Linked DNA regions of Drosophila melanogaster. The protein of the gene in region 2 interacts with the protein of the main gene of each other region in a pairwise test. Each region holds a gene or a part of one and is shown on either strand. Other genes may lie near its edges.

Region 1 (8,011 bases), on a different chromosome or scaffold from region 2:
AATTTATTTTCGATGGAAGGAAAGGAAAACCAATGGGGGGCAACTACGGCAAAATTGATTACGTTTAATGCGAAAATTATAAATATGAATTAAATTAATCAAATTTAATAATAATTTCAATTATATTTAAGTTAATGAGTAGTACGTCAGTAACATAGTTTAGCTTTAAGTCAGAACCAAAAAAATTAATCATTTAGATAGGATTGGATTAAACTCAATGTGTGTATGGATTTAATCTGATCGGCAGCAGCTCGCACTCCTCCTGCTCCTCCTGCGCCTATTGCTCCTCAACCGGCTTGGGACCATGGTGACTGGATAGCTGGACAACTGGACAACTGGGCTGGCCTTCACTTGTGCGCAATGGGAATCAGTGTCTCGCCGGCGGTGAGTGCTGGCAGGGGGGCGTCCACGGTCAGGACTCCGTCCTTGCTGAGGGACGAGCGGATGGACTCGGGATTGACGCCCTTGGGCAGCAGGAACTCCCGATTGTACTCCCTGTACACGCTCTTTGTGTCCGACTTCTCCTCGTGCTTGGCGTGCACCTAGTCGAAAGGAATCAGATATCCATGTTAGATAAACTCTGCAAAACATAACCATCCTGAGCAGAGACTTACCAATAGCTTCTGGTCGACGGTTTTCACAACAATTTCCTCGGGCGCATACTGGCTGACATCGAAACGCAGCTTCAGCACTTTGTTATCGCCCTCATCCTGCAAAGGGGGATATATAAGTGTTATCCTTTGGCAACCAAGAGTAGATTCCTTGCATTGCTTACCTGGATCAAGGGTGAGCTAATGTCGGAGACGTAGTTCTGTTGCTTTGGGATTCGGGATGGCAGCGCCGAGTTTGTCGTTGAGCTGCAAATAAGTTGAGACGAACATATTGTACATGAGTATTGCAGTTGAGTGTTGAAGCGAAACTTAAGAACAAGTAGACTCGAAATAAAACCAAAGGTGTTAGGGTTGCGTAGGTGAGGTAGGAACCTGGTGGAGGAGTTTGTGGTTGTTGTAGTAGTGGTTCTGGTGGTCCTAGTGCTGCGAAAGGTATTTTGCAGTGTGCGCGTAAAGGCCTCCATGCTGATGCTTCTCCGGGATGAAACTGATCCGGACGTAACGAACCCAACTTAAATGAAGCCGCGATGCTCGACGCCTGTCTAATAATAGATCTGGCTTCCGCTTGAAAGCGATGTACGTATGTATGTATGTACATGTGTACGGATCTGGGGGCAGCAGCTGTCACCCTCGAAACATAAATCTCCCCATATGTCTGTAATAATTTCTATTTTAAGGAACTACCCATAAGGGAATTGAGAATTAAGGCTTCATGTATCTAGACTACAAATAAAACTATTCCTTGCTTCCTTGAAATTGTATGCATACATATGTATCTATGTATGTACATATGTATGTATGGATCGCATCAAAACGGTTTTCTATTATGAAAAACTGCCTATACTTACAACTTTTATAATTTTATCTTTTAGTTTTAAACGAACTGTATGCATTTCTAGTTATGTATTTGCGTCTATACCGGGCTCAAAATTGTTTATAAATAAATGTTATAGTGTATATTTGGCGATTAACATGCGATGCATCTGGTAACGAGTTTCTAGTTTAGTCTGTGTGGATTGCAATAACATTAAACCAATACATTAGTTACCAAACAATAAGGGGTTGAGTGAATGAAAAAAACATTGAGGATAAACAGAAAATAAAAGTTTAGGTTGTAAACTTTCTACGTTATTGTACCTGGTAGTTGTTGTTTTTTTAGTAGAGCTTTTGTTTTAAGAGAGAGGAGAGGAGATTATTATTATGTGGAAATTATTGCGGTTGTTTAATATTTCCAAGCGGCAAGAAAGAGAAAAATAGATAGAAATTGTTTATAATGAGTTAGACAAAAAGATAACTACACATTATCGTACAAGGGTGAGCAATTTTTTAACTATTTTATAAAGGTACAGCCTTGACTCGATATTAAAGTTCTGGAATTTTTAACAATGATCAATGAAAATTTCAAGCCATTCATATGTTTTCTTGTAATTAATATTTAATCATTTTTGGTACATGTTTCTTATGCATATGTACATATATTAATGATAACTCCTTTGTTTTCCGCACTTCCAGTCCCCAATTTCCTTTAGAATGCAAGTTTATCTATTAAGATCCAAGTGTTTCAAGCATAGCATCTAAAAAAAAAGAATATGTATATTACCTACAATAGAGGAAAGTATGCATAAAATATTTACATATTTACCCAGGAAATAATTCATTGGTCCATAATTGTTCACTTTGTATTACATTTTGTCGCACTGCTTTTTCACAATAATTTTTATTTTTAGTTCAAATTAGTAAATCTACACTTATTAAAATTTTGTGATTTCATTTTAAATAATATTGTATTCTTCACTTCACTCTCACATCAATTGATAGGTAAGTCGTTTTTTTTTAAATATTTTTTATGGTTCACCTTAATTTGCATTCTTAGCTTACGGGATTTGATTGACCGTTAAGCCGCTGTGCGTGTCGGCGATGAAGCCAAAATGTATGTGTGTATCTGTGTGTGTGTGCATGCGAGCGAGAGTCGTTGATAAGCGGCCATCAATTGGCACTCCGCAAATTCTGAGCAGAGGCAGAGAAAGCTTATCAATCGGAGCCGAAACGTGAACGTGCGTGGGCTTATTGGCGACCTTGCAATGTGCTTTGCGAGGTTGATCGCCCCTCGAAGAGAGAAATCAATAGCGCGCTAATGATAAGTACCAATAACCGTTAGCCGCCTGGCCAAAGTTTCTTTGGACAGCATGAAGAGGCACCTGCCCTCCCACTCTGGCAGCCGCTCTCACTCCCACCCTCTCCGGCCAGCCCACGTTTTTACATGTGTGTGAGTTGTGTGTGTGTGGTGCGACTACAATATCTCGCTGGCATCTGATGACAATGATGTCATGCATATTTTTTCGTTATTGAAAAGCCAAACGAAAGGAAACCAAAGAAGAACGAAAATAAACACGGGCGCGAGAGGCGGCCAAAAAACCAGAACAAGCGCAAACAAAATGGCTCTCTTTAGTTGTTTGCGGTGTACGCGTGTGTGCGTGTGTGTGTGAACAAATGTCGAATTAAAATATCGATTATCGACGACGATCGGCGTTTTGTCATCGATTGAAATCGAATTGAATAGCATCGAGTCGAAGCGCAGCGCAATAGCTAAAAATTGACATGATATCATCGCAGTTCGCTGCTCATTTGAATTATCAGCATCCAGCCAACAATATTGGCAACTAAATCGCCGCAGCGTGTGCTCATCGCAACTGAAAACTGTCCGTGTGTGCGAAAGCTTTTCGCACAGATCTATTTGCTGGTTAAATATGTGCATATGTATGTATGTATGTACGATCCTAGCGCACTTATTTGTTTAAACTGTGCGCACACACAATGAGTCTATAAATTAGGCAAACCGTTGGCATTGCCTATGTTTGGTAGCCATCCCATCCCATCCGATCCGATCTGGCCAATACAATTTCCATGCATTTGCATGAGATAATCGCACCAATCTATTTTACTGGGAACCGCATCCAAATCCATCTGAATCCGCACATTGTTCATATCTGAAGGCGCCAGCATTGATGTGCGGTCTTTGCTTATGGCCAAGTTGGTTAAATGAGGCCCTGCACTACACACAATCTATCGTTAGTATGTGACAGTACGTACATACATACACATATGTATGTATATACATACATATGTTCAAGAAAGTTTTATTTAAAATGTGCAAATGGCCTGAACAGCTTTTGGCAGCTACGCAGGAATTGCATGTTTGTAAACATGTTTTTCTTATGCCATAATAATAAAATATACATTGTTGGGAATGTATCCAGTTAAAAGCATAAACTATTGCTTCAAGTGGCAACTTCGGTAGGGCATAGATACACCTACCTGTATGGATTTATTGCCCTGTATATGGGGCGTGCGTTTATTCCGTGCTGAGTCATTCAGATATCACGCAGCGCTTCAATTGACAACACGCCACAGCCACAGCCAAGCCGCTTAGGTCAAAGGTTGCGGACAGTGGGCAGTTATGGGCGAATGATTGAATTATTTGGCAAGTATATATCCAATACTACTACTAAGCTACTAAACTACGTGGCCAATCTGTGGCGATTATTAGGCTAATCGCCCGAAGCAAGCCCTGGCGCACAACTTATGCCGCCACTGTGAGTTTCCCTTCATTTCCAATTAAATTTGCAGCCAGGAGGGCACAATACCAATTTGGGTTAATTTCCTTTCACTGCCAACTTTGACGTTGAATGGGCAAAGTTGTGGAGAGGAGCGCTACCAAGTTCTGAAACAGACGGAAGTCTGGTGGGGGGGAGGGGGGTGGAGTCGTAACATTTCTGTTGTGGCCATGCAAATGCAGTGGCGACCATGGCGAAGGCAACAACAAATAGAGTCCATCGGTTCGATTGCGTCATACGGCGAGGTCGTCCCAATAGCAACCAAAACTGGCGCCCACGCAACGCAACTCCAATGGAAAGGCTAACGAGACGCGCAACCGCGACGGCGTCGGCGACATAGTATTTGCCATTCGCCTTTGGGGCATTGTTTGTTTATTAATCGCTGATTTGGGCAATAAACCTATGTTCATTGAAAATGCCACTCGTAACATTCAACTGGAATTTCTCTCTCTCCCTCTCTCTGATTCGTATGAATATGCGAGGGTGTTAAAATACCGCCGAATCACTTAATTGACTTGCAAATGGAAATAGATTGCTAGGTAAACGCGTTTGTCACTTATGTATGCTTTAAAAACAAGTAACTACAAATGGAAATAGTTAGAGATTTAATGAACATTATTCATGTGTGCCACCGATCGTTTCAATGCTTTGCGTTTTCAAATATTTAATTTTGCTCGCAGAGACCAGATTTTAATATCTTATCTCATTATCAACAATTACATTTTTCTGCTCAGCTAGAAACCCACACACACACACACATATAACGGAATATCTTGGCACAGGTGATTCTCAAAGTTCGAAAAATTCCGTTATGCCCTACATAACGGTTGCATAAACCGTATGGGACTCGAGATCGAGCGAAAGGGGAGGGCACAAGACGCTGGCTAGCCATGTGCCGGGGCGGGGGAGGGGGATTTACTAGCGGGTGGCGGGCAGCAGATACACATGTGTTTCTTGGCCGGAGACAGCGGCGGAGAATTTAGAACTGGTGACTCATCCTCCCCCAGAGCGACGGCAAAGAAATACACATAGTGTATCTGGGGCGAGAATTGAAGCGGGCCGCTCGCCTCCTATGAGGCCCACTGTTTAGTACATACATATGTATGTATGCACGTATGTACATATGTACATACGTAGGAGAATCTGTGGGTGAAGAGCTCCAGACCAGTGGGCGATGTGGCAAGATGTGCGCCTATATTTAGAGGAGCCAACAACGAGGCGATGAGTCGAGCGATTCGGGATTGGGTTCCATCGCAGTACACCCGGTAGAATCAGGCTATGTGGAATTATCCCAGTGTTGGGATCCCACTTGTATCACTATTACGCTTACCTGGTGGACTCGAAGAAGTTCGCCTCGCGGTTCATCAGCTCGTGACGGAACTTGGCCATCTCCTCCTCCATTTTGCGCATCTCGGAGTCGAAGCGCTCGCGGATGTTGCTGAACTCCGTGTCGATGACGCTGAAGTCGCCCAGCTTGATGGGGATATTCCTCTTGTTAGCCTCGGCCATTGTTGTGCTGTTTGTGGTGGTTTATTTGGTGGTTGCTTCGCTAGATGGAATCTCCAATCTCTTCGCTGTACACTGTATACCGTATATACTGTATATACTGTATACCGTTCTATTATTCTCTGTTCTGTTCTGTTCTGCTCAACGCGCTTTCGAGCTTGTTCACTTGCTAATCGACGGAGCAACCAAAAAAAAAGGGAACTCGATGGGTTTTCTATATGTATTCGAAACTCAAGACGTTCAAGTGTGTGATTTCGGTTGGACGTATCGCACAGATAGCCGCGTTTCAATTTCTGAACTGTTTTGCATTCACAGTGTGTCTTTGCTTTTATAGCTTTCGTACCGATTGTACTTCGATTGCCGCTGCGCAGCAGTGTGGCGATATCGATAGACCGATGAAGCCGCATTTAGTCATCGATTTGCGGATTTGATTATGTTTCTATTGCCATTGGATCAAAAAGAACTTCTATCCGCAAAGGGAATTGTTTAAGCGTACTTTAACCACTAATCGTTAGCGGACCACCCAAAACACTATATTCGCTGTATTGATTTTGTATTTTATGGAAATAATGACGCACGGGGAACACATTTAGAAGTGAAACAATAGTTGTAAGACAAATTTGGTTTATACAAAATGACCGAAAACAAGGAAGCCATGATTTATTTTCCGTTAATAAGCTAGTAATTCATAAATGCAATGAAATAACATAACACATTTCAAAGCTCCTAAAAAACTTTCTAGGAACAAGTGTTCAATTAGCAACAATTAATTAGTTGATGATCAACTTGATCTTGATAAGTATGCTTAAAACTTCTCGCGTGGGAGCCATTCAGTCATGGAAGTGAGTTCCTCGAACTGTGATTCCAATTGCATCTGGTTCAGCATTTGTGTGCTGTGAGTGCGAGTGGAAAGTGTGAGTATGAGTCGTGTTGAGTTAACCGGTTAACCGATCAACGCTTCCTACCGTTTTGGGAAATGATCTTCGGTATAGAGAGAAAGAGAGAGAGAGAGAGAGAGAGTTGCACATTGGTGGAAAGTGCATTTTCCGTCCTGCGGTGGGTTGGCATTATCCATCGTCCTAAAATAGAACATCTATGGCGTGATGGCCCACGATATCTTGTCCATATTCGCGGGGTTACTTACACCCAGAGCTCATCATCATTAAGACCTTAAATCAAAAAGCCAATTCCGCCCATTGTGCGAATCGATAAATCCCAATATTAGACCGGGTGGGTGGAGAACGTTGGCGGCCCAAATACACGCAGAAAAATATATGTCATATATACATATGTAAATTTAAATATCTCTATGCTGAGCTAAGATTGGAAATTGTACTGTTGTAAGCTTGTTAGCTATAATAGGATATGTTTCCTAATCTAACAGAGAGGCATTATAGTATCTTAGTATCTGTGTCGTTTTCTGCCAGTGTGCTTGGCCATATCCATGGTACTACCCACTCCGCCGCATCGGTTTGTTTGTAAACAAATGCGAAATGACTCAGCCGCGTGACATTGGCGGTCGGAGTCGAGAATCGGGAATCGAGCCAAGTCGAGTCCATTCGATTCGATTCAATTCCTTTTAGGGAGCGTCGGCCAGGGGAATTAAAATTTAAATTGAAATTAATGAGAGCCGGATTGCAAAGTTGCAACTGCAGAAAAAATGTGCGATATATATTCATAAGTTTTATGAACCATATGCATATTTAGCTAGACAAACTAGATTTTTCTTCAACTTAACAATTGCATCTCTCATCCATAAGAAAACTCATTAGCTGGAAATTTGATATCTTTTAAAGCTGTTATTGCCTGCACATAACTTACATTCTTTTGTTTTTTTTTTTTAAGTGCAAGTGCGACATATTAAAATGCAATATTTTGAATCCGTGACCGTTTTACTGCTCGAAATTCCATCGGGGACAACGGCAGTTGTGCCATCAAAATAATTATAGACTTAATCACGAATTTCGAAAATAAAACGACAATCATCGTGGCTTAACGGCTGAGGTGTTTTCATTGTACATCCATACATACATGTGTACATATGTACATATGTATTTTTCACAGCGCCCACATGCTCGCAATGGCTAATGGCTAATGCCCCCTGTCCAAACAACAAACTCATTTTCATCAATAATCTCGACCTTGAAGTCCCCAGTGTCCCCACAAAGCATACATATCGGTATTCAAACAAAATTAATTTTTGAAAAGAGGATTCCAAGTTTGCACATTCGTGCACGTTTCAGTCTTAATTCAATTGTATTTTGTGCCTTTTCAAATCAT
Region 2 (3,217 bases):
GGAAAAAAAAACTGAAAAGAAGCAAATAAAGATTTGAACATTTGAACTAAAGGAAGTTCAATTAAAGCTTACGATTTGGATACAGATTCATTTTATTCAGACCTCCATATCTACGGAAGAAACTGTGACATGTGTTGGAGGATTCAACTATATTTGTCGCTTCCATGATCTTTGACTCCACTTCGTGTCTTTCTGGCTGGCGCTGGATATTGTGGAACCGCACACAGACCATCTCGTCGTGTAACTCAATTCGTAAATAATTAACGATCACGAGATTACAAATGTCAAACAGAATGTCATGTTGGGAATGCCATCGTGCCCGTCGAGGGGGAACCGGAGCTGCTCCTTTCGCCGCCACATATCTTAAAAGACCGAGTGAACAAAAACCACCGACTTGGCTCCCTAGCCACCAGACTCGATCCTCAATGCGTGTGGGTCTGTGGCGAGTGCCAGCCGATCTGTTGTGACTTATGTCAAGACAATTGCGTTACAATATTTTGAAGATTCAAAGTGCCTGGGAATGAGAACCGCACAGATTTATGGCTAAAACGGAATGAACGTCTGTTTTATTTGAGCTGGGTTATTAGCCCATGGGCAACATTATCGTATACCAAATCCCATTTAATAGCTAGTGTTAGAGAGGTGTTATAAGGTGTGGGTAAGGATAAGATAATCTAACCACCAGGGGCAGCTGTGGGTGGGGCAGCTGTAGGTGGGGCAGCTGTGGGTAGGGCAGTTACTACAGGTTGTGGCGATGTCGCAGGTGCCGACGGAGCAGGCGTTTCGGGTGCAACTGTGGCTGGAACTGCAGGAGTCGAGCCAGGAGGAGTGGCAGGCGCACCTGGTGAACTCCCTGGAGCTGCTCCACCTGCCTGCGGAGCTACAGTGCTTCCATTCGCTGTGGCGTTTGGAGCAGCTTGAACAACTACCGTGCAGTTACGACAAATCACTGAGAATAACAAATCAAAAGGTCACTGAGTTCAAGACGGTCTCTCAACTTACAAACGTTCTCATCGCCGGCATCATCACTATCACTATCATTGTCATAGAGTATATCCTCGAGGATAGTCCACCAGTCGGTATCGCGTTTCTAAAGCAAAAAGTTGAAATTATTATATGTTTAATAAGTACAACCGACTGACCGTCTTGACAGAGGTTTCCTCCAATGACCTAGCCTCAATGCTCAGAAAACTAAACATAAGGCAAAGGCCCACTGCGAATAATATATCCCTTCTGGCCGACATCGCGACTTCAACTGACCAAAGTTGCTCAGAAAACCTACTTATATAGAACCTAAAGCCAATATTTTGTAATATTTAGTGGCTGTTAGTGCTGAAAAGTGGACTATTTCGAATTTATGGTGGGTATTCAGGAGCTTAGACGCGTACAAATGCTTGAAAACTTTATTATAGGTAAACTTTGTAATCACGTCAGAAAATTCAAAATCGGCTGAATATTATTAGAGTATCTATAATAATGATAATAAGAATATATGAGTTTTCAACTTATTTAACTTGGCATAATCCGCATTCCAAACCTTTTCCTAAGCAGCTACTAACAGTATTCCCTAGTCGATCTCTAGTTATATGCCATCTATTACAACCACCTTTAATGAGGGGAGATTCCGTCGATTTCGAACAGTTTTCCATATTTATGCAGCTGCACGTTCGCTTTGTCTGGGACTCCGAAACGAGCCCGAGTGTGGGCAAGTACTCTAGCTATGATCGAACTGCAATTGACAAGTGCGCAAATCCATAACCATAAACTATGTACACGAAATTCGACACTGTTGGGGATCATTAGCCGGGGATCGTTGGAAGTGGGGGAGTGGAGAAGTCGGGGGATTGGGGGATCGGGGAATAATGTCGGGCAACAAGTGGGATGGTAATGCGATATCAAAGCAGCGGGAAAACGAGCTTGTAAGTCGCGAATAGCCTCCTGAATGGAGCAGCATCGAGGTCGATATACTCCGTCTCTCGGTTCATTATCGCTCCTTTATCCGGTTCCTTCCTGATTTGTTGCGATTGCCGCCACGAGTAACCCGGGAGCTCTATTGCGGTTTTTATGGCGCTGCACTCTCCAGTACGTGTTGCACTTGGAGTTGCTGTTGTGGAACACGATTCGAAATTAGAAGACGGCGCAGATGTGCAGCAGTGCCTCCAACTGCCCATAATGGTAATGGACCGGACGGCAGTTTCAGACGGGCAGCGAGCTCCAGCGGCAGGTGCCAAGAGGAGGAGGAGGAGGAGGAGACTCCTCCAGTCTCCAGATAAGAGGGCTACCCATTTGACACCATATAATGGCAAGCTATTATAGTAAAGTTTCAGTTGTGCTTTGTTTGCCAGAAAAGTTATGATAACGAAAGTACAAACTGATTTTCCAGATATCTAATAGATTGCCATAATGTTTGCAACACATTTAAATTTTATATAATCATTCTATATATTTTCATTTATTGATTGTGCACAAGTGAAACTACTCTCTTAAATTGAGTTGATCAAATTTGTGGCACTAAACCGAATTACTCCCTTCTCAATTTCTCGGCCAAGTCCATCTCATTTACAATGGTCACCACTGAGAAAGCGAACTTGGCCATCTGAAAGATTTTGTTTACAATAAAATGTAATGGTTTTGTATGATATTATCTTACCTTTATATTGGTGTTTAGACATATGGGGAAAATTCCGCCCGCAGTGAACAAAATCGACTGCTGAACATTGTGAATGAAGTACAACATCGTGGTTCTGTATCGTCGCTCAGCTCCAATCCACTTGGAATGGAACAGTGTGTTGGTCAGGGATTCGCAATCGCTGCTCAGCTGCTCACAGACATAGCAAAATGGAAAGGTCTGGGATAGAATGGCTATGGTGTAGACCCCGGAGACAACACGCTCCATTACGGTGTTATAGAACTGCATGGACACCGCTGCCAGACCCAAAAGTAAGCCAACGGATAGTAGTTGGATGAACATCGTGGCGGATATCATGGGACGCAGAGTGTTTCCATATCTAATGAGGAAAATTGAGTGGATTATGGCATTCTGCAAAGAGTATTCCATTCTTCCTCACTCGACAATTAGCTTGTGATCCTTTACACACTCCACCAGCTCGGCATAATGTTGATCGTCGCCTTTTTCCACATCAGTACGCAGCGTCTTGATTCGCTCACTCAAGAGCTCCATGTGGATCCGCAGAACGACCACATATATGATGGGATA
Region 3 (7,931 bases), on a different chromosome or scaffold from region 2:
TCGCAGCTGGATTAGCTCTTCTGGTCTGCTCCATCCAGTTGGGTGAAGGAGCACCTGGTCACCTGCTAGACTCCAGTTGTGGCACGACAAAACCAGAATTTATCCCAATGATCACCGGGGGCGCAGACGCAGGCCTATTCTCAAATCCATGGATGGTGAAGGTGCTAGGCGAGAAACTATGTGGTGGCTCGCTAATCACCAGTCGTAAGTATTCAAATGTGGCCCACGAATGAGTTCTTTGTCCAGTCACCTGCTGCTAATACTTTCAGGCTTCGTTCTCACGGCCGCCCATTGCATCGTTAGTACACACATGTAAGTGAGGCAGCACTGTCTTTCGGCGAACACTTACGAATTCCCATTTCCACAGGAGAGTACGCTTGGGCGAGTATAAAACCCGCTTTCCTGGCAAGGATTGCTCGCGCTGCGTGCCCAAGTCATATAAACTCAGGAGAATACGCTTGGGCGAGTATGACACCCGCTTTCCTGGCAAGGATTGCTGCGTGCCCAAGTCATATGAACTCGCTGTGGATAGAAAGATTTTGCATGCGGATTATAACCTAAACTTGGACAACGACATCGGCCTGTTGCGCATGAAGAGCTTCGTCCAGTACTCAGGTAATGAGGTGGATCCAGCAGCCAGGGCTCCCTAAGCAGTGGACATATCTTTCAGACTACGTCCGGCCGATCTGTCTCCTGGTCGAGGGACACATGGCGGAAAGTCCCATCTTCAACATCACCGGCTGGGGTGTCACCAACGATGGCACGCCCAGCCGGAGGCTCCAGAGGGCCACTGTGTACAACACCGACCTCCACTTCTGCCGAAGCAAGTTCACCAAGCAGGTGGATGAGTCGCAGATTTGTGCTGCTGGCACAAATAGCGATGCATGCCACGGCGACTCGGGAGGCCCGCTGAGCGCACAGGTTCCTTTTGCCGGCAGCTGGCTGACCTTCCAGTACGGACTGGTCAGCTACGGGTCGGCGGCATGCCATTCCTTCTCCGTTTACACCAACGTTACGCACCACAGGGACTGGATTGTGAACGCCATCGAAGACTTCAGCAGAGCTTTCCAGCTTAGACTCTAGCTACTCATAATAACATTTCGTTGGCTTTTCTAAGAAAATATTATCAATCCAAAATATTATCTCGAGTGGTTTAATGGCTCCCCTGACTTCTGTCGTAGACGCCATTCGGGTCAATAATATCTGCATTAGTATTTATGTACATAAGCGAAGCTTATCTTCAGCAAATTTTAACGCTATACGCAGCGAAGCCTCGCTTTGACTGATTCCCCAGAATTCTGGGGAAAAACCGAACCCTTGGAGAAGGTTCACTTCTACACCCTCACTGGCTGGGGTCACACCGCAGACTATAAGCCCAGCCGCATTCTCCAGGAGACCACTTTGCTTGCGCTCGAACAATCGTGTTGCAACAGCAACTTCAACATCGAAGTCGACCAGTCCCAAATCTGCACCACTGGCGTGGACAGCGATGCCTGCGGTGGGGATTCCGGGGGCCCGCTGAGCGCGAAGCTGCTCTTCGGGTTAAAGAAGCGGGCTTTCCTGCTCGGACTCGTCAGCTACGGGGATGCATCCTGTAGGATCTTCGAAGTGGCCACGAATGTGACGCACTACGTCGACTGGATTAAGGCAACAATCGACGAGAACTCAAGTTAAAGCGTTAAAGCGTCAAGTTAGAGTCCAAGTCGATTGAGAATTTAAATTTGTTGCTAGTAAGAAATCTGCAATTGAAATATTAGTTTACCATGATTAAGTAAACAACAGAAGAAGCTTAGTTTTATTTGCAGTATGCAAAGGGTATAAAGCGTTATCGATTAAAATCGCAAGCTCACATATTCGATAGACCACGCCGACTGTGCTCGCTCTGCCGCGAAGGTATTATTTAAGGGTGCGCCTACGGTCACTCTGCAGAAAACTTTTGTCGTCGCAAAAATGTAAGTAATGTTCAAGCGCGCCGCACTTTTCCGGCATTAAATCTAGTATGTGCATTGGGTATTCGTGTATATATTTTATACAAACAACAAACAAAGAACTGGCTAAAAATAGCGGCTCTTTTATTGCGACTTGGTTTTCGAAAAAGTTCAATGCACTCCGTTTTGTTAAGGAGACGGCTTTACAGTTACTCTTCGTAATGGAGTTTTCTCAATAAATTGTATTTTCTGCGCTTCTCTTGCAGCTAAACTACTCAAGAATCAAACAGAATGTTCGTTGTACGTCGTAGCGCATCTCGTCTGTACCCCGCTGGAGTCCAGTGAGTTTCTACCCACATTTAACCCCCGTTCATAACTACCTGCTAATTGGCTTACAAGACTTAACAGAGCACTCATATCTCATTCGCCATATTCAAAGTGTTATGTATGCCCCCAACTTACACTTTCCTCAATGTTCGATAAGATAAACAATTCCGATCCCATCGAAATCGCTTTCACCCTGCGCGCATGTGTGTGTGTGCAGTCTATGCTGACTTCACTCCACTGTTGCGTAACCGCACAAAACCAGAAGATTCTAATGGTTCCCACCGCCATTTTCCGCTCCACAGGCTGGCCAAGATGAGCGGCAGCCAGGTGGGCGACCTAGGCAGTGGCGCCGGCAAGGGAGGCGGCGGCGGTGGCTCTATCCGCGAGGCCGGCGGAGCCTTCGGCAAGCTTGAGGCTGCCCGCGAGGAGGAGTACTTCTACAAGAAGGTGAGTGACCCAGAAAACAACTTATTTCATCATTAGCTTTATTGAGCAGCAGCGGGAAGCGACTCAGTTGCAAGGCCTGCCGCTGAGCAGCTCCTGAACACCGCACTTCTGTATGCGAAAGTTTATCTCCTTGTAGTCCAGACCCGCTCCGAAGGCTTTCTGCAGCCGATTCGACAGCACCCACAGTTCCTCCTTGCCCTCGTGGTTGCGCACTATCTTGAGTCCACTGGCGAACTGCAGTCGCTGCTCATCCTCCACCAGCATGACCAGATTCTGATGGCTGTAGCCGGTGCGAATGTTCCAGGCCAAAAGGCTGGCCGGCTGGACCAGGCCGCAGATCAGAAAGCCGGACTCGCTCATGGCCGCCGCAACGCATTGACTTCCCCGCTTGCCCAGCAACTGGAACTGATCCAAGGCAGCGCTCACATCGTTCAGCCGCCAGTTGCTGCCGTTGTTGACCACATCCAACGGAATGGCCATTTGCCACTCGCTGGACAGAGAGTGGAAATACATCATCCGCCGGCCACCCAAGCCGTGGGGCGTTAGAGTGGTAGACACCGTGCCGTCCCACAGCTGGAAGCTCTCGCCTGCTATCGTGAATGTGCCGAAGTCTGGATGAGGATACGTAAACTTGTTCTCAATCCGCCACGACTGCTGGGCTGCCACGTCATACACCACAATGCCGTCTCCAATGGAGTCCGCCATGTACACGAATCCCACATCGCAGTTGTGCGGATCCAGCTCCACGGTGGGCGTGACAAAGCGACTCACGCCCTCCTTGTACAATCGCTTGGGCATCTTGTACTGATGCGCGACTTTTCCGCTTTCCAAGTCAATAGCGTACAGCTGCGGCGGGCAGTGCTGAATGAAGTCGATCTCGCCGCTGTCCAGGATCCACATGCGCCCGCACTCGTCTATCTGTGTGCGGTACACCGAAGTCAATCCATTGCAGTCGGCTCCGTGGGATTTGTGCCACTCGTAGCTGGGATAAGCCTGCAGGAGAGTCCCGTTCGGTCGCATTTCGTTTGTGACGTAGGCCAGAGAGTATGGAACGCCCTTGGCAAAACGCGGAATGGTCACGAATATCGAGGGTGTGGCATCGCCATCTAAATGAGAGAGCAAATTAGGTAGGCTTTTGTGCTGAAATGGAGAACTCCTACGCTTGTAGTAGACGTCCACATCGATGGGGATCACGCTGCCCGGATCGTATAGTCCATCTCTCAGCGCGCGCTGTCTTTCCTGCGGCGATGGAAACTCCAGCTCCAGATTGTAGGCTCCAAAGACACTTTCCAAGGCCTGGGCGGATGCTGCCAGCCAGCACCAACAGCAGACACCGAAGACAATCCAACGCTCCATGCCGTAATCCTTTCACTTTCGCGACAACTGTTCCACTTAAACACCGAGCGGATACTGCACATGCGCGTGGAGCTGCGGGCCCATGTCTTTCTAATCCAGCCAGCCACTCAGCAGGCTAAGCGGGTCAGCTTTTGTAACTGGTTTAATTGCACACCCAAAACTCTGTGCACTGAAATTCTGGTCGAGCCATGGCAGTTTGTTTACTGTTCACTGGTGTCCACCTCGGAAAACAAGTTGCTGGTGCTGGTATTGGCTAATTATGCACGCCGCCACCCATTTGGACCGATTGCTCGGTTCGTCGCCCCATTAAGTGTGATCCATTATCCAGTCAGTACAATTTAGTTCCCAATCCAGTTCCAATCGATGCTGCTGATGCCCGAAACGGTTAACGTCACTTGATGGCGCTGAATCAGGTCTAATCTTAAGCCACTGCGGCTTCTACTGGCCAGTGGGATTCGTGCGTGACTAGACTGTTGCTTGGGAGTACAGACTTGGGGCGATAACAAGTGACCCTGAACTTTGCCACAAATTGTGTGGCGCAAGAAATTTGAAAATCAAAATAATACAGTAAAGCTTCGGACGCATGCATTCATAGGCCAAACATATGTAGAAGAAACTCCAATTCTTCCATTTCTCACAATAACTTTTATCAACTTTTATAGTCAACATTTCTTTGAAAGTTTGTAACCGAAAAGTTAGCTTTCTCAAATCAGGTTCATCGTTTTATGCGCATTTATATGGTTTGTTAGCAAAGTAAATTTAAATATTTCGCTGTCGTAAAATTTAAATTATTCAAGGGAATGAGTACCACAAGATGGTTAATATTTACACGTCATATATATTTCTTAGGCTTTGCGGAATCTTTACAATTTCAGATAGGCTGTTATTAGCACTTAGGCGGAATTCGCAACGATCCCCCAGTGAAGTGCACAACAAAACTAATATTTACATATATTAATTAAGTGGATTTGCTAAGTCACTAGCTAAACACCAGGCGATTGGTTAGATCCTCGTCGTTGGAGAAGAAGACGCCGCCCTGGACATCATCCAACTTGCGGCGCAGGATGCGGAAGTTGACCTCCTTCGAGTTCAGCGTACCTGCGGCGATTTTCTAAGGGAACAATCGTAACAATCAGTTTACGGGGCACACAAAAGCCTGCTGAACATCAAACCTGGTAGCGATTGGAGAGCATCCAGAGTTCCTCCTGCCCTTCGCGGTTCCGCAACACCTTCATGCCGCTGACGAACTGCAGGTCATCGGACTTGGCTGGCAGATTGCCAAAGTTTCGCGAATTGTACGGCGAGTTCACGTTCCACACAAAGAGCTTGACGGGATTGAAGGTGACGCAGTAGACGTTGTTCCTGCCATCGATGGCGGACGCGGCGCACTCGCTCCGCCGCCTGCCTAGCAGCCTGAACTCCTCCGGCAGAGCCTCCGGCCCGTTGGCCCAGTTCTGCTGCCGGTTCAAAGCACTCAGTGGCACGGAATACTCACTTGCACTGGCCAGCGGATGGAAGTAAAGATTGCGCTTGTCGTTGTTCAGTGCAAACATGCCGTCCATCAGGTAGAAGCTCTCGCCTGCTATGGTGTGCTTGCCGTAGTCCGGATCGGGATACATAAAGCGGTTCTCAGCCCGCCATGATGTCTGCGCCTGGTGGTCGTAGACCACCAAGCCATGATAGCTCACATCGGCCACATAGATCATGGTGCGACTGCAGGTTCCCCTAGGCGGAGGATCCTGGACGAGTACATTTGGCGTGATGAAGAGCGATCCACTCGGGATGTATGTGTCGTTCGGGAAGCGGAAGCGATGCAGCAAGCGATCGGTGGCCAGGGCGAACTGCAGCAACTGCGGCGGACACAGCTGGGTGGTTCCAATCACACCCGAATCGATCACCCACATCTGGTTGCACTCGGTGATCTGGAAGAGATTCAATGTAGAAAAAACTTAGCTGTCCGAACATTTTACACTTACAGCCACTCTGAATGCGGATGTTATGCGATCGCAGTCCTCGCCGTTGGCATTGTGCCAGGAGTAGTTGGGATACGGCTGCAGCAGCGGGCCATTCCTGCCCTGCGTCGCTGAAACGGTGGCCAAGGTGTAGGGAATGCCCGTCACGAAGCGCGGAATAGTGGTGAACAGCCTGATCTGGCCATTGGCCATGTACTGTGGCTGCACATCGATGGGAGTGCCGTTCTCGGGCACCAGATTACCCGCCGCCTGAGCGTTCTCCCGATCCTGCGCCGTGGGAAATCCGAACTCCAGCTGGCCCCACTGCGTCAGCGTTTCTACAGTGCGCACGGGACGCGGTCCATTGACACCGACGCCATAGCTCTGGGCTAGCGTCAGCGAAAAGGCGATCAGCAGTATCCGGAGGGGCATCATAACCATTCCGCAGCAGAGTCGGATGGTAAATGTTCTGTTCGAACTAAGGGCAGCTGCTTATCAAGCAAGTTGGTTCCTGAGGCGTTGATAAGTGGCAGAGAGGCAGGCAGGCTGGCTGGCGGAGATCGAAGAGTGTGGACCGCGGCCTGGCTTTGTCTACTTGTTGACGACCAATTAAGAGCAAGGGTCTGTTGATATTTGGCCAGATGCGGCCTAACAATGCGGAATAATTTAATACGGTGACCCCGATCTAACGACACTTTCTTCGACGTCTCACTTCGGTAGCCAACTATCAACTGAAAACAGGCTTTTTAGCTTGGTGGCTTGAAGACGAGCAGGCAGAACGGCAGACAATGATTCAGGTTCATTGGCGGCAGGTGGTTTTCCCCCGATCTTTTTCGCACTCTTTACAGACTTCCGTCGACTGTTTGTCGTGGTCATTCAGGCGATATCCGAACTTTTTGTCTGCCCGTGTGACGGGTTCGGTCTGAAAATTGTTAACCAAATATTGTCTCTTGTAGTAAAGCCTCTTATATGGCTGGCAGCTAATGATGACAGTCGATCAATATTGATGGCAAGCTTCAGGGGTGGGCGGGCTTAGCTAACCAGCAATTAGCTTTTTACGACTTGCTAGCACTAATTGTATTTCGCACCGGCTAATCGAGAGAATCCATCATTGTTCGTTTCGTTGCAGCAAAGGGAGCAGCTGGATCGCCTTAAGAACGACCAGATCCACCAGGCTGAGTTCCACCACCAGCAGATCAAGGAGCACGAGGAGGCCATCCAGCGCCACAAGGAGTTCCTCGAGAACCTGCACAAGTGAGCGGTGATCCATCCACCGGCAGAAGGCGACCGCACGGACGGATGAACTCGAGACATTTACTAAAATGCATTTCACTCTCTTTTGTATGTTCCCAAGTGCTCACTACCACTTACCAGTAACCCAAAAATTATATATGTATTTGAAAAGTGCGTAATAAACCATCCATATTTTGAATGCTTTAACTAGAAGCTCATCTTTAGCTCGTGCTGGAACAGGTTACTAAAGTTTATGGCCGCTTCGTTACAGAACCAAAGCAATAAAGTTCGTTGATGTGTTTCTTTATAAGTTATTTTTCAATTCCTCTTCGTTAATAACTAAGGCCTTATCGCCTGCCGTTATAATCGACTAAAAATCAATTAACTTAAAAAGAATAACAACTTGTAAAAAATAGAATTTATGAAAAGAGTGTATATTTCACGTACAAGAAAACACAGTTATACGAACTATTGCGCGGTTTTTATAAATAAAGAAGTGCAATTTAAACGTATGCTGCATTATCTTCGAATAAAAACAAACTGTAGGGTGCTTAACTAAGCGTTTTTGCCCACAACATGAGGATTCCTCAAACACGAGCGGCTACTTAAAATGCTAAATCATTGCATAATTAGCAAGTTTGACCAGCTTTCATTCAGTTTTAGCGTGTAAACAGTTCATTATAGTAGT

The links.
Region 1: the proteins of CG7443 (region 2) and CG14207 interact in a two-hybrid assay, tested with the Drosophila melanogaster proteins (one large-scale study listed by BioGRID).
Region 3: the proteins of CG7443 (region 2) and CG13551 interact in a two-hybrid assay, tested with the Drosophila melanogaster proteins (one large-scale study listed by BioGRID).

The regions. Positions count from the first base shown.
Region 1 is NC_004354.4:19,603,227-19,611,237, reverse strand, and holds the start of CG14207 (uncharacterized protein), read right to left. Parts: upstream 6,040-8,011; 5' UTR 5,735-6,039; coding exon 5,556-5,734; intron 1,776-5,555; coding exon 1,749-1,775; intron 1,101-1,748; exon of another isoform or gene 1,076-1,100; coding exon of another isoform or gene 984-1,075; intron 858-983; coding exon 776-857; intron 711-775; coding exon 615-710; intron 543-614; coding exon 348-542; 3' UTR 1-347.
Region 2 is NT_033777.3:8,322,359-8,325,575, reverse strand, and holds CG7443 (uncharacterized protein), read right to left. Parts: upstream 1,261-3,217; 5' UTR 1,200-1,260; coding exon 1,143-1,199; intron 1,091-1,142; coding exon 1,003-1,090; intron 950-1,002; coding exon 675-949; 3' UTR 540-674; downstream 1-539. Other genes in the region: Or85a (odorant receptor 85a), read right to left, coding at 2,522-2,596, 2,651-3,008, 3,069-3,217.
Region 3 is NT_033778.4:23,377,386-23,385,316, reverse strand, and holds CG13551 (uncharacterized protein), read left to right. Parts: upstream 1-1,892; 5' UTR 1,893-1,997; intron 1,998-2,194; 5' UTR 2,195-2,219; coding exon 2,220-2,269; intron 2,270-2,557; coding exon 2,558-2,702; intron 2,703-2,725; exon of another isoform or gene 2,726-2,765; coding exon of another isoform or gene 2,766-3,808; intron 3,809-3,862; coding exon of another isoform or gene 3,863-4,058; exon of another isoform or gene 4,059-4,120; intron 4,121-4,878; exon of another isoform or gene 4,879-5,037; coding exon of another isoform or gene 5,038-5,169; intron 5,170-5,230; coding exon of another isoform or gene 5,231-5,980; intron 5,981-6,034; coding exon of another isoform or gene 6,035-6,451; exon of another isoform or gene 6,452-6,744; intron 6,745-7,139; coding exon 7,140-7,268; 3' UTR 7,269-7,451; downstream 7,452-7,931. Other genes in the region: CG30414 (uncharacterized protein), read left to right, coding at 1-204, 270-312, 368-615, 671-1,083; yellow-d2, read right to left, coding at 2,766-3,808, 3,863-4,058; yellow-d, read right to left, coding at 5,038-5,169, 5,231-5,980, 6,035-6,451.